Linked DNA regions of Macaca mulatta. The protein of the gene in region 1 interacts with the protein of each later gene in a pairwise test. Links are inferred from orthologs where the notes say so. Each region holds a gene or a part of one and is shown in the gene's direction. Other genes may lie near its edges. The genes, in order: SPDEF and NKX3-1.

Region 1 (7,350 bases):
AGCGGCCCCCACAGGGATGGAGAAGCCATCAAACCTGAGTCCTCTTTCATTTCCGTAGACACAGCCGCCAGCCCGAACAGCAGCGGCATGGGCAGCGCCAGCCCGGGTCTGAGCAGCGTGTCCCCCAGCCACCTCCTGCTGCCCCCCGACACAGTGTCGCGGACAGGCTTGGAGAAGGTGGCAGCGGGGGCAGTGGGTCTCGAGAGACGGGACTGGAGTCCCAGTCCACCCGCCACACCCGAGCAGGGCCTGTCCGCCTTCTACCTCTCCTACTTTGACATGCTGTACTCCGAGGACAGCAGCTGGGCAGCCAAGGTGCCTGGGGCCAGCAGTAGGGAGGAGCCACCTGAGGAGCCTGAGCAGTGCCCGGTCATTGACAGCCAAGCCCCAGGGGGCAGCCTGGACTTGGCGCCCAGCGGGCTGACCTTGGAGGAGCACTCACTGGAGCAGGTGCAGTCCATGGTGGTGGGCGAAGTGCTCAAGGACATCGAGACGGCCTGCAAGCTGCTCAACATCACCGCAGGTGAGCCCTCTCCCTGTGCCCGCTTCCGTAAGAGGGGTCGCAGGCAAGGCTGAGGTTGCTGGGGTGGGTGGGGGTACTGCTGGATGGACTCTGGCCACCTCTGGCCCAGCCACGGGCAACTTCAGGGATGCTGGCACTTCTACACACAGTCAGCTGTGAGCCAGGGCTGGGAAGGTTTCTATCCATCTCTAGTGTCCCAACCATGCCAGCCTAGTGTCCCCGCTGGTAGGTGCTGAATGATATGAATTCAAGCTCTGTGCCCCCCCACCTCCTCTTGGACTCCGCTCTCCCCTCATTCACTCTGCTCCAGCCACACTGGCCTCTTTGTTCCCACAACACTCACTACGCTGCTGCTTCTTCAGCCTAGAACGCTCTTCCCCCAAATATCTGCGTGGCTCACTTCCTTCAGGTCTTGGCTCAGATGGCACCATCCGCCTGAGGCCTTCCCTGACCCCTCCATTAAAATTGCTGCCCATGAGCACAGGACATGGTAAAGAAAACAAACAAAAAATGGAAAAAAAAAAAAAAAGAAAAAGAAAAAAGAAAGAAGAAAAATTTCTAAAATTTCTGCCCACACCCCTACCTCCTGTTCCCACCTGCTTCCTCTCATAGCACTTACTCTCCTCAGTCGTGCTGCACCATATCTATTGACCTCGCTCACTCTCTGTGTCCTCTACTGGAATGTACACTCCACAAAGGCAGGGATTTTCATGTGTTTTGTTCATCACTCCATCCCCAGATGCTAGGATAGCACCTTGAACATAATTGATGCTCAATAAACAGTTGTTCAATAAGAAGCATTTCTTCCTCCTTCTTCCTTCTTCCTTCTTTCTGAGACGGAGTCTCGCTCTGTCGCCCAGGCTGGAGTGCAATGGCGCAATCTTGGCTCACTGCAAGCTCTGCCTCTGGGGTTCATGCAATTCTCCTGCCTCAGCCTCCCGAATAGCTGGGACTACAGGTGCCCGCCACCACGCCCAGTTAATTTTTGTATTTTTAGTAGAGACGAGGTTTCACCGTGTTAGCCAGGATGGTCTCCATCCCCTGACCTCGTGATCCGCCCACCTCGGCCTCCCAGAGTGCTGGGATTACAGGCCTGAGCTACCGCGCCCGGCCTCTTTTTTTTTTTTTTTTTTTTTGACAGGATCTCCGCTCTATCACCAAGACTGGAGTGCAGTGGCGTGATCTCAGTTCACTGCCACCTCCGCCTCTGGGTTCAAGTGTTCTCCTGCCTCAGCCTCCTGAGTAGCTGGGATTACAGGTGCCCACCACCACACCCAGCTAATTTTTGTATTTTTAGTAGAGACGGGGGTATCACCATGTTGGCCAGGCTGGTCTCGAACTTCTGACCTCAGGTGATCTGTCTGCCTTGACCTCCCAAAGTGCTGGGATTACAGGCATGAGCTGCCTCTCTGGGCCAAAAAGCAGTTCCTAATATGCCAAGCCTTATTCTAGGACTGGGGAATTGAGTGGTGAACAGAACACAAAGTCCCTGTGTTTGTAGGGCTGACATTATAGTGAGGGAAACAGATCACAAATAAATAGAGAAATGTGTCACTGGTCTGGTGGGATGGAAGGCCCTGATGAGGAGGGGACGTCCCAGGGCCTGGCATACATGTGTCTATCAGCCAGACCTGGAAGGCGTGATTATGGAGCTGATGCTGTGGGCGGGGGGGTTGCTGAGTCTCTAGTCCTCTGTCCTGCCGTCACCTCTCCAGCTTCAGGCAGGCCTGACCCATGTCCCTCGGTCTTCAGGCCCTGACATTGCAGCACTCAACTCTGTGCACCTTTCCCTGGGAAGCAGGGGTCTTCATGCATTCCTCAGGCCTGGTCCCTGTCCCCAAAGCTGCCCCGTTGATGTCCTCATTTGAAGCTGCTCCTGCCGATGCCCCAGTCCTCCAGTTTCCCAATGCCCATGCCAGGCCGACTCCAGGAGTTCTCCCACAGGCCTCCTCCCCACCCACAGGGCTAGGGAGGGGAGGGCCCTGCTCCCTGAACAATGGGAACAGGAACAAATGGCTTTGACCTCGGGGAGGAAAATGGGCTTATTAAGTGGGGGCAGCCCAGCCTGCAGGTCACTCAGCTGGGACACTGGCTGGACCATGGTGTTCACTTGGAGGCCCTATTGTGACCATGCCCACCAGCCTATCCCCCACCTGTAGGCCTATGAGGCTCACCTCAGAGGAACACCCTAGGGGGATATCTAGGACCTAGCCGAGGGCTCCCGTCCTGGCCTCTGGGGCCTGTGGCTGCCCCATGACCATCCTGTGCCCTGCATTTACTTATTTAACACATGCACGGAGCAGCTCCTGTGTGTCCAGCCCTTTATTCCGTGGAGGACAAGGGGATAGAGTGCCCTGTGCCTCAGTTTCCTTATCTGTAAGATACAGGGGCTGGAGGGAATGGTGGGGCTCTAAGACTAATTCCCAGATGGGTGTTTCTCTGGTTCCTTGAGGGGTTTGGGAAAGGCAAGAAGTACCTGATGGAGAAGCCCAGGTGTTTCCGGTAGAGTGTCACTGTCCCTCCGGGGCTGGGGCTCCCTCGAAAGGTCCTTTGGAGAGGCTGGAGGGATCTGGGAGGACCCAAGGCCTGAGTGAGGCAGGAAGTACAGATGCACCAGGTTACCCTGCCCTGAACCAAGTTCATTTTTTAGGGCCCTGGTTCCTTCCTCTCGCCCCAATCTCTTCTTGGGTACCCACTTCCACAGGGGCCCTCAGGGGCTGACCTACCTCCACCCCCAGGAGCACAAGGTCTCAGGCCACAGGTTCCCGTGGGTGCCCCATCACAGCAGGGGGGGCTGTATTTGGGGTGGTGCTCTCAGGCTGCCCCTGAGCTGAGGGGATGCCTCTTGCCCAGATCCCGTGGACTGGAGTCCCGGCAATGTGCAGAAGTGGCTCCTGTGGACAGAGCACCAATACCGGCTGCCCCCTGTGGGCAAGGCGTTCCAGGAGCTGGCGGGCAAGGAGCTGTGCGCCATGTCGGAGGAGCAGTTCCGCCAGCGCTCGCCCCTGGGTGGGGATGTGCTGCACGCCCACCTGGACATCTGGAAGTCAGGTAGGATGTGGCGTGGGTGGGAGCAGCCCCTCCCAGGCTCCAAGCCAGGGACAGGATGCTGGCCAGGAGTTTGCCCTCTGCTGGGGCAGCAGCCCCTTGGCCCCCAGCTGGACTCCACTCTGAATCTCAGCCCCAGTTTCAGCTGCCTCCTGGATCCTGGTGCACTCCTCACCCCAACCCACTCCCAGTCCTGGTCAAGGCCCCAGAGCTTTGGGACAGAGCACCCGGGAGGTTAAAAGGTAGAAGTCAGACTGTGAGGATGCAGGGTGTCAGAGCTGGGGACAACCGTGGACGCTAGGAAGTCCTTTTTCCTTTTAAAATTTTGTTTTCCTTTGTTTTTGTTTGTTTGTTTGTTTGTTTATTAAATAAGTAATAAACGTGCATGTTATAAAATAGACCATAGTGAAAAGTAGTGTACCATAAACAGTTTCTCCCTCCTGCTCCCGACCCCCAGCTTCCAACCCCCTCCCTAGAGGCAACCACTTTTACCAGTTTCTTGAGTATCTCTCCAGGGAAAGTCTATGAATATTCAAGCACATATACATATATGCAGTTCTTCTTCTTCTTATATTTTTTTGACATAAATAGTAGCAGAGTATTACACTGCTCTGCATACCACAGTATGTCTTGGTATTAAAAACACAGTATGTCTTTAATTTTATACTCTGCTAAAATTAAAGTGGCCCTGCTTTAATTTTAGTTTTTGTTTTTTGAGACAGGGTCTTACTCTGTTGCCCAGGCTGGAGTACAGTGGCACAGTCACAGCTCACTGTAGCCTCGACTTCCCGGTTTCACTGGATCCTCCCACCCCAATCTCCTGAGTAGCTGAGTCTACAGGTGCACCACCACACTGCTCACTTTTGTATTTTTTGGTAGAGACGGGTTTTCACCATGTTGGCCAGGCTGGTCTCAAACTCCTGGGCTCGAGCAGTCCACCCACCTCGGCCTCCTGAAGTGCTGGGACTACAGGCGTGAGCCTCCGGGCCCGGCCTGCCCTAAGTTTCTAATGGCTGCGTGTCAGCCCCTGAGTGTCTAAATTGTCTCAATCTCATTGGGCACCCACTGCTGCCTGCACAGGGCCGGGTGCTTTGGAGGAGATGGTGCCTGCTCGATGAGTCAAGGAGTAAGAAGTAGGGCCCACTCATATGACCCTGTCAGAGACCAGTGCCCTGCCCCAGCCCCGGCAAGCCCCCATGTCAGATGTCCTCATCTGAACAAGCGGATGCGTGCAAGCCCTCTATGGCCCCTCCCAGCGCTGAAATCCTGAATTTTCGTCCAGGAAGCAGCTTCTTGTAACCAGCTTGCCTCCCCAGGTTGGCAGGAGGCAGGGACTGTGGCAGGGAGCCTCAGGGGCAACCCCCAGCCACAAAGGGGCTCCTGTGGCCCCACAGTCCCACCCAAACGCCTCCCCTCCTCCACCTCTCCTGGGTCCCCAACCCCCTCTCCTTGCCCTGCAGCGGCCTGGATGAAAGAGCGGACTTCACCTGGGGCGATTCACTACTGCGGTGAGCCAGGCAGGGGCAGGGCGGGGGCGGGGGCTCGGGTAGGGTGGAGGGGTGGCTGCCACTGAAGCAGGGACTGGCCTCCCCTTCCCACTCACTGCCCCCCTCCCTGGCCACCCAGCCTCGACCAGTGAGGAGAGCTGGACCGACAGCGAGGTGGACTCGTCATGCTCCGGGCAGCCCATCCACCTGTGGCAGTTCCTCAAGGAGCTGCTACTCAAGCCCCACAGCTATGGCCGCTTCATTAGGTGGCTCAACAAGGAGAAGGGTGAGCAGGGTGCCCAAGGGGCACTGCAGGGCCAGTGAGCATGGAGGTTGTGGGGGCTTCTGCCAGGCACTGTGCATGGGGGCAGGGGCGGGCAGAGGGGGGAAGCTGATCTCCACCTTTGTCCTGGATGCCAAATACACAGCTTTCATGAGATGGCCCTGGGGGGTCTGTGTGCAATTTGTGTCCATATCTGTCTCCTGCTAGACTCTGTCTCACTTAGGAGCTTAGTACAGCACAGCTCCTGGAACGAGCTCCAAATCGACTCTCCCTCCACCGTCTCGTATTAATTAATCCCGCCAGAAAGGGCTGCGCAGGCCAAAACTGCCTGGGAATAGCAAAGATGTTGTTTCAGGCTTGGGAACTACAGGGACACCTGTAATGGGGGAGGAGTGCTCTTGCCAAGTGAGCTGTGGGCACTGCTGGGAGCCACACAGGACTTTGGATTAGGGCACGCAAACCCCACACAGGAGCAGGGGCTGGCAAGGGCCAGGCCCGCAGGGCCCCAGAGAACCCACTAAGGTACACAGACTCAACTGTGCCGGGAGGTTTGTGACTCCAGAGTATTCTCTGCCATTCACTGGGGCCTGTGGCACCTGCTTTGCACACATCTCTTTAACCCTCACCACTACTGCACCTTGGGAGTAAGCATTCGGGTCCCTGGTCACCCCGCCCCACCCGAGCAGAAGGAGGCCTCTGCACAGGGTCTCTTGGTTCGCCCCGAGGCTGACCTGGTGGTCTGCGTCTTTCTCCTTCCTGCCGACTCACTCATACCGCTGGCTCTCTCGGGGCCCTCCTACTCTTCCAGGCATCTTCAAAATTGAGGACTCAGCCCAGGTGGCCCGGCTGTGGGGCATCCGCAAGAATCGTCCCGCCATGAACTATGACAAGCTAAGCCGCTCCATCCGCCAGTATTACAAGAAGGGCATCATCCGGAAGCCAGACATCTCCCAGCGCCTCGTCTACCAGTTCGTGCACCCCATCTGAGTGCCCGGCCCAGGGCCTAAAACCCGCCCTCCGGGGCCTCCCTCCTGCCTGTCCTGCCTCAGCCAGGCCCTGAGCTGGGGGAAAATGGGCAGTCTGCTCTGCTGCTCTGACCTTCCAGAGCCCAAGGTCAGGGAGAGGCGGCCCGCTGCTCTCAGGGGGAGATGGGCCTTCTGGGGCCTTCGGGACCCCAGGGCAGGGGTGCTTCCTCCTCAGGCCCAGCTGCTCCCCTGGAGGACAGAGGGAGCCAGGACTGCTCCCCAACAAAGGACCCCTCTACCTGCCTCTGACCCCAGCATTTCCAGAGCAGAGCCTACAGAAGGGCAGTGACTCAGCGAAGGCCACAGGCAGCCCAGGGCTCTCTCTGCTCCATCCCCCTGCCTCCCAATCCGCACCACGCCTGGCATGGTGCAGGGAGACGTCTGCACCCCTGAGTTAGGGAGCCAGGAGTGCCCCCGGGAATGGATAATAAAGATACTAGAGAACTGACATGTCCCCAGTGTCTGCGCAGTGAATGGCACAGCCCCGAGGTCATCAATGGTCAAGTGTGGTTGTGGTCACAGGGCCTGGAGTAGTCAAGGGAGGCTTTCTGGAGGAGGCGGCTTTGGGCTGAGCCTAAAGGGAAAGGGATAATTGACTGGTAGATGCTTCTGGGAGAGAGATAGTGAGGCTTCAAAGTCAAGGAGGGGCTAGAACAGCCACCTTATCTTCCCTATCCCTGTTCGGGCTGAGAGGCGGGTGGTAAGGCTGGTGTTAAAGAGGTTCTTCATGCAGGACCCGAATGGGGAAGGTATCTTTCGCATCCTTTTGCTCTGTTGCAGAGCAGGGCTTTGCAGCTAACAGGGTGGAAGAGAGGTTGGTTGGCTCCCGTTTCTGTTTCCTGAAGGCCTCAGCAGTACCGTCTGTGAAGATGTGAGCTCCTGTGAGTGGGTGTGAGACCCCCGTGCGTGATGGAAGAGGGTGTGCATTGATGTCTGTGGGCATGCTGGGGGTGACCAGGACCCGCCACCCACTCTCCCGGGCAA
Region 2 (7,450 bases), on another chromosome or scaffold:
TCTGAAAGGTGGAAAAGGTTTGCCTCAATGTGATTTTGATTTGCATTCCTTCACTGATGAAGTGTAGTTAAAATTATTTTTTCACGTGCTTGTTTGTGTTTTACATCTTTGAGCTGTCTGGAATTTATTTTGTCATAAGAATAGGACTTTATATTTCCAAATGGCAGCACTTTTTATTAAATAATTCACACCCAACTCTCAATTTTAAAAATGAAAGGAGGCCATCTCAATCTAAACCTCACACTATATACAAAAATTACTTCTGAATGAATCATGGATTTAAGAGTAAAGCATAAAACTTTTAGAAGATAACATAGGAGCAAATCTTCAGTATTAGGACTAAGTAAAGAGTTCTTAGGCAGGACATCAAAATCACATTCTGTAAAATTCAAAAATTCATAAATTGATCTTCAATGAAATTAAAATCTTTTGTTCTGTTGAAGATCCTGTTAGAGGGATGGAAACACAAGCTACAGACTGGGAGATAATATTTGCAAATCACCTATCAGACAAATACTTACATACAGCAATATATAAAGAATTATCACAACTCAATAGTTAAAAAAAAAAAAGAAAGAAAATTCAATTATAATACGAGCAAAAGGCTTGAACAGATATTTCACTACAGAGGAAATATGGATGGCAAACAAGCACATGACAAGGTATTCAACATCTCTAGGCATTTGTGAAATGCAAATTAAAAATTTAAACCACAATAAAGCCAGGCACAGTGGTTCACACCTGTAGTCCCAGCACTTTGGGAGGTGGAGGCAGGATTGTTTGAGCCAAGGGCTTTGAGACCAGCCTGGGCAACAAGGTGAAACCTCATCTTCACAAAAAATGTAAAAATTGGCTGAGCAGGGTGGCACACACCTGTAGTCCCAGCTGTTCAGGAGGGTGAGGTGGGAGAATCTCTTGAGTCCAGGAGTTTGAAGTTGCAGTGAGCCATGATCCCTCCACTGCACTCCAGCCTGGGCAACAGAGCAAGACCCTACTCTAAATAAATACATAAATAAATAAAAAGTCTGTAGTCTAGTTAACTGTAATGTCCCAATGTAAATTTCCTGTTTTCTACATTGTCCTACAGTTGTATAAAATGTCATTGGAGGACAACTTCCTGTGAATCTACAACGATTCAAAAGAAAACATTAAAGAATGTTCTAATATAAAGAGACTTTGAAAAGATAAGAGAAGAAAACCAGCTTTGCCAAAGTCTTTCCCATTGCACAGGTAGTTTTCTTCGGCGGCCGCTTTATCAGCAATAACCTATTAACTTTCCTTCCTCCAGAGACACATGACATACCATCCTTTTGAAAAGTTGCCAGTGGAATGGAAGGCATCTTAGACCAGGACAGACAAAAATGTCGCATTAAAAAAAAAAAAATGGTTAAAAAAAAATCAGCCTACCCTTTTTCCAGATTACCAACTGTTACCATTTAACCCATTGGCTTTATGGTGTGGGATCTAACTGCATCCTTGTTTCAGAACCATTTGATGTAAGTTTCGTAGATCTTGTGCCTTTGCTCCTACACACTTCAGTGTTAATTTCCTAAAAATATTATCTTATACACTGACAGTACAGTGTACAACTTCAGTAAATTTAACATTAATTCAATACTTCCACCATCGTCCTGACGCTGAGACTCACGCCTGTAGTCCTAGCACTTTGAGAGGCCAAGGCAGGAGGATCACTTGAATCCAGGAAATCGAGGCTGCACTGAGCTATGATGGCATCACTGCACTCCAGCCTGGGCGGCAGAGGGAGATCCTGTCCGTAGAAAAAGAAGGCAAAAGCCAAGGAAAGAAAATACTTCTATCATCTATGTTCCACTTTCGTCCGTGTCACGGTACCGTCCAGTCCAATCACAGTACCAGCTGGTCCAATTAAGCTAACCCATTGTTTAGCCAATGGGTTAAATGTTAACAGTTGGTAATGTGGAAAAAGAGTATGCTGATGTTCTTTTGAACTACTTTTTTAAATGCAGTTTTTGCGCCTATCCTGGCCTAAAACGCCTTCCATCCTTCTGGAAACTTTTCAAAAGGATGGTATGTCATGTGTCTGGGAAGGAAGGAAAGTTAATAGGTTATTGCGGATAAAGGAACCACCAAAGAAAACCACTTGTGCAATGGGAAAAGGCTTTGGCAAATATGGTTTCCTTCTTTCAGCCTGGGGTCAGGCTGCACCTACTTGTCATGCCTCTTTGAGATCTTAGATATTGCAGATCTAAGTTTGCCACCATCTCTCCCAGAGAGAGAAAGCATCCAGAACTCTCACAGTACCGTGCGGCTGCAGTGACTGCGTGCTCACCCCGTGTGATTGGCTCTGACCGTCCTGAAGAGCTAACTGGAGTGTTCGTCTTGGTCATCCCATCCCCATGAGCTTCTCAACTTCTGTTGCGGGTGGGTTGGGGCAGAGGAGCCCAGCTTTGGGGTGCGCTCCCGACCTGGGAAAACGGCTCAGGGCGGAGGGAGGAGAGCTGGGTGAAGGATAGGGAATTGGGGAAGGAGAGGGAACTGGGGAAGGAATCCCCTAGGGAGGAGCGGAGCCGGCTCGTGGTCAGGCCTTCCCGTTCCGCGGCGTCACCTGGAGCGCAGGGCGGCCAATCCGCGGCGCGGCCCGTCCCGCGGCCAATGGGAGGGCGGCGCGGCGCGCTTCCCCCGGGGCTATAAGCGCGCTGGGAGGTGGAAAGTGAAAGCTGTGCGGGCTGGCGCAGCGAGGCCAGAGCGGGGCAGCCGGGATGCTCAGGGCTACGGAGCCGCTGCCCGGGGAGGCGAAAGCGGAGGGGGCCGCGCCGCCAACCCCGTCCAAGCCGCTCACGTCCTTCCTCATCCAGGACATCCTGCGGGACGGCGCGCAGCGGCGAGGCGGCCACACGGACAGCCCGAGACGGCGCGACCCGGAGCCAGAGCCAGAGCCGGAGGGAGGACGCGGCCCCGCCGGGGTACAGAACGACCAGCTGAGCCCCAGGCCCCGCGCCGCGCCGGAGGAGGCCGAGACGCTGGCGGAGACGGAGCCAGGTAAGCGGCGAGGCCGGGACCCGAGGGCAGCCTAAGGTGGACCCCCCAGAGCTTGCGGTGCAGGGACGCGGGGCCCCGCGGCCTCAGGCAGAGGGAACTCCCCGCCTCCGCAGCCACGCGCGCGCGCCCCGGGGATGAACCCTGAGCCCCAGCGTCAGGGCGGCGCAGGATTCTGACACGGCAGGACTCTCCCGGCTCCGTGCCCTCCGCTCCCCGGGGCTCAGAAGCCGGCGCGACCGCAGCGCCACCGCCCTCCACCGTCCCGGGAGCGGATCCCGCCCCGTGCCACCCGCGATCGGCGCCAGCCCCACGGTAGTTACGAGAACTAATGATAACTTATTAATAGTGACAAAGTAGGGGTTGACCAGGAAAGCCTCCGTGTGCTTCCCAATCCCGTGGGCAGTAAAGCGGTACATTTTGGGTTCCCTCCAGGAAAGAGTTATTTTCTTCCCTGTCACTTCTGATGAGGCGACTGAACGCCTAGTTTAGTGAAGACGGAATTAAAGCCCAGAATGAGCCTGCCTCTGCGTCTCCCGTGGCACAAGCCCTTTCTTGCCCACCTGAGTCCTAACACCGGATGCCTTTTGGTCCGGCCTTCCCGGGTGTCTTGTTCCTCTGTCTTCCCTGCCTCCCTCTCCTGCCTCTCCTCAGCACACAGATCCAGAATCCCCATCTAATTCTACTAGACAATAGGGAGAACGTTCAACCACGAAACATCTCTAACTTTGGGTTCTTAATGATTCTTAGAAAATGAATAGGTTATAAACATATTTACTCACTCTTCACTCCGGAGAGCTCCTTAGTCATGTGAAAAAAGTGAAATGTATCCACGATGACAGTGGGCTGTTTGTTCACTCACTAAAGAGATAAGGGTGGATTGAATTCTGTTCTCTTCCCTGCTAACATGTAACTTTTGTCTTCCCATCCCTCTTTCCCCGCTGTCCTTTCCAGAAAGGCACTTGGGGTCTTATCTGTTGGACTGTGAAAACACTTCAGGCTCCCTTCCAAGCCTCCCCCAAACCCCTAAGCAGCCGCAGAAGCGCTCTCGAGCTGCTTTCTCCCACACTCAGGTGATCGAGTTGGAGAGGAAGTTCAGCCATCAGAAGTACCTGTCGGCCCCTGAACGGGCCCACCTGGCCAAGAACCTCAAGCTCACGGAGACCCAAGTGAAGATATGGTTCCAGAACAGACGCTATAAGACTAAGAGAAAGCAGCTCTCCTCGGAGCTGGGAGACTTGGAGAAGCACTCCTCTTTGCCGGCTCTGAAAGAGGAGGCCTTCTCCCGGGCCTCCCTGGTCTCCTTGTATAACAACTATCCTTACTACCCATACCTGTACTGCGTGGGCAGCTGGAGCCCAGCTTTTTGGTAATGCCAGCTCAGGTGACAACCATGTATGATCAAAAACTGCTTTCCCCAGGGTGTGGCTATGAAAAGCACAAGGGGCCAAGGTCAGGGAGCAAGAGGTGTGCGCAACAAAGCTATTGGAGATTTCTGTGGAAATCTCACATCTTCACTACTGAGACAATGAAACAACAGAGACAGTGAACGTTTTAATATCTAAGTCTGTCCCCCAGTGCATACTGTAGGTCATTTTTTTGCTTCTGGCTACCTGTTTGAAGGGGAGAGAGGGAAAATCAAGTGCTGTTCTCAGCTCTTTGCATGATTTTGGAGGAACTGTACACGTGAGGATTCTGTTCTACAACTCCATCCTCCTGTGTCACTGAATATCAACTCTGAAAGAGCAAACCTAACGGGAGAAAGGACAGCCAGGACGAGGATGTCACCAACTGAATTAAACTTAAGTCCAGAAGCCTCCTGTTGGCCTTGGAATATGGCCAAGGCTCTCTCTGTCCCTGTAAAAGAGTGGGGCAAATAGAGGGTCTCCAAGAGAACACCCTCATGCTTAGCACACATTTGCATGGGAGGGGGAGATGGGTGGGAGGAGATGAAAATATCAGCTGCTTCTTATTCCTTTTTATTCCTTTTAAAATGGTATGCCAACTTAAGTATTTACAGAGTGGCCCAAATAGAACAAGATGCACTGGCTGTGATTTTAAGACAAGCTGTATAAACAGAACTCCACTGCAAGAGGTGGGGCCGTGCCAGGAGAATCTCCACATGTCCAAGACAGGAGCCTAAGGAGGGTCTCCACACTGCTGCTCGGGACTGTTGCGTTTTTTGTTAGCAGAAAGTGGAAAGGACTCTCCTCAACTTTTTTCTCCCAGACTGGAGAATTTAGAATCAGAAGTTTCCTGGAGTTTTCAGGCTATCATATATACTGTATCCTCAGAGGCAACATATTTCTTCCTTCCCTCCTTTTACAATTTTTTGTTCCTTTTTTGCAGCAATTACTCACTAAAGGGCTTCATTTTAGTCCAGACTTTTAGTCTGGCTGCACCTAACTTATGCCTCACGTATTTAGCCCAAGATCCCGAGATCTGGTCTTTTTTTTTTTTTTTTTTTTTTTTTTCCTCTCCCCAAAGCTTTATCTGTCTTGAGTTTTTAAAAAAAAAGGTTGGGGGCAGATTCTGAATTGGCTAAAAGACATGCATTTTTAAAACTAGCAACTCTTATTTCTTTCCTTTAAAAATATATAGCATTAAATCCCAAATCCTATTTAAATACCTGACAGCTTGAGAAGGTCACTGCTACATTTATAGGACCTTCTGGTGGTTCTGCTGTTACGTTTGAAGTCTGACAATCCTTGAGAATCTTTGCATGCAGAGGAGGTAAGAGGTATTGGATTTTCATAGAGAAGGAAGAACACAGTGCAGAATGAAGGGCCAGGCTCACTGAGCTGTCCAGTGGAGGGCTCATGGGCGGAGTCATGGAAAAGAAGGCAGCCTAGGCCCTGGGGAGCGCAGTTCACTGAGCAAACAAGGGACCGAGTGAGCCTTTTGCAGGAAAAGGCTAAGAAAAGGGAAACCCATTTTAAAACACAGCAAGAAACTGTCCAAACGCTTTGGGAACTGTGTTTATTGCCTATAATAGGTCCCCAAAATGGGTAACCTAGACTTCAGAGAGAATGAGCAGAGAGCAAAGGAGAAATCTGGCTGTCCTTCCACTTTCATTCTGTTATCTCAGGTGACCGGGTAGAGGGGAGACATTAGAAAAACATGAAACAACAAAACAATTACTAATGAGGTATGCTGAGACCTGGGAGTCTCTTGATTCCACTACTTAATTCCATTTAGTGAGAAACCTTTCAATTTTCTTTTATTAAAAGGGCCAATCTACTGTTGGTGGCAAAATTGCCAACATAAGTTGATAGAAAGTTGGCCAATTTCACCCCATTTTCAGTGGTTTGGGCTCCACACTGAAATATTCAATGCCATGTACTGCTGACACCCACCGGGGTACTAGCCAGCACAAAAGGCAGGGTAGCCTGAATTGCTTTCTGCTCTTTACATTTCTTTTAAAATAAGCATATAGTGCTCAGTCCCTACTGAGTACTCTTTCTCTCCCCTCCTCTGAATTTAATTCTTTCAACTTGCAATTTGCAAGGATTCCACATTTCACTGTGATGTATATTGTGTTGCAAAAAAGAAAAAAAAAAAGTGTCTTGGTTTAAAATTATTTGGCTTGTGAATCCATCTTGCTTTTTCCCTGTTGGAACTAGTCATTAACCCATCTCTGAACTGGCAGAAAAACATTTGAAGAGCTAGTCTATCAGCATCTGACAGGGGAACTGCATGGTTCTCAGAACCATTTCACCCAGACAGCCTGTTTCTATCCTGTTTAATAAATTAGTTTAGGTTCTCTACATGCATAACAAACCATGCTCCAGTCTGTAACATAAAAGTCTGTGACTTGAAGTTTAGTCAGCACCCCCACCAAACTTTATTTTTCTATGTGTTTTTTGCAACATATGAGTGTTTTGAAAATAAAGTACCCGTGTCTTTATTAGATGTATCTGTGTGTGATTTTCAGTTTCCCAAAAATTACATGCTGTGTAACTTAGATATTTCTAATTACCATATCCTCTTGCCCTCGTCCACCTGACACACCAGTTGCAACCTATGGTGATCGAAAGCCTCAGCCTACCCAGTAGCTAATGATGGCCATCCTTTTATAAATGCACTGTCCTTCATTCCTGTTAAGTCATGGGGAGAGGAAGTCCTTTTCTCTCTTCAGTTTAATAATCAACTGTTCCACTATTCACAATAGCAACATCATGGGCTGAACCTACGTGTCCATCAACAGATGATTAGATTTTAAAATGCGGTGCATATATACCATGGAATACATATGCAACCATCAAAAATAATGAAATCATGTCTTTTGCAGCAATATGGATGCAACTAGAGGCCATTATCATAAGTGAAATGACTCAGAGACAGAAAGTCAGAAACGGCATGTTCTCATTTGGAAATGGGAGCTAAATGATGGGTGCCCACGGACATACAGAGTGGAATAAGAGACACTGAAGGT

The links.
Region 2: the proteins of SPDEF (region 1) and NKX3-1 interact in a two-hybrid assay, tested with the Homo sapiens proteins (2 studies listed by BioGRID). The link is inferred for Macaca mulatta from reciprocal best matches to the Homo sapiens genes SPDEF and NKX3-1.

What each region holds. Positions count from the first base shown.
Region 1 is NC_133409.1:147,734,024-147,741,373, forward strand, and holds the end of SPDEF (SAM pointed domain-containing Ets transcription factor), read left to right. Parts: intron 1-58; 5' UTR 59-87; coding exon 88-523; intron 524-3,376; coding exon 3,377-3,574; intron 3,575-5,031; coding exon 5,032-5,079; intron 5,080-5,197; coding exon 5,198-5,344; intron 5,345-6,149; coding exon 6,150-6,328; exon of another isoform or gene 6,329-6,402; 3' UTR 6,403-6,814; downstream 6,815-7,350. UniProt on the Homo sapiens protein: May function as an androgen-independent transactivator of the prostate-specific antigen (PSA) promoter. Binds to 5'-GGAT-3' DNA sequences. May play a role in the regulation of the prostate gland and/or prostate cancer development.
Region 2 is NC_133413.1:25,395,391-25,402,840, reverse strand, and holds NKX3-1 (homeobox protein Nkx-3.1), read left to right. Parts: upstream 1-2,702; 5' UTR 2,703-2,738; coding exon 2,739-3,018; intron 3,019-3,969; coding exon 3,970-4,388; 3' UTR 4,389-5,489; downstream 5,490-7,450.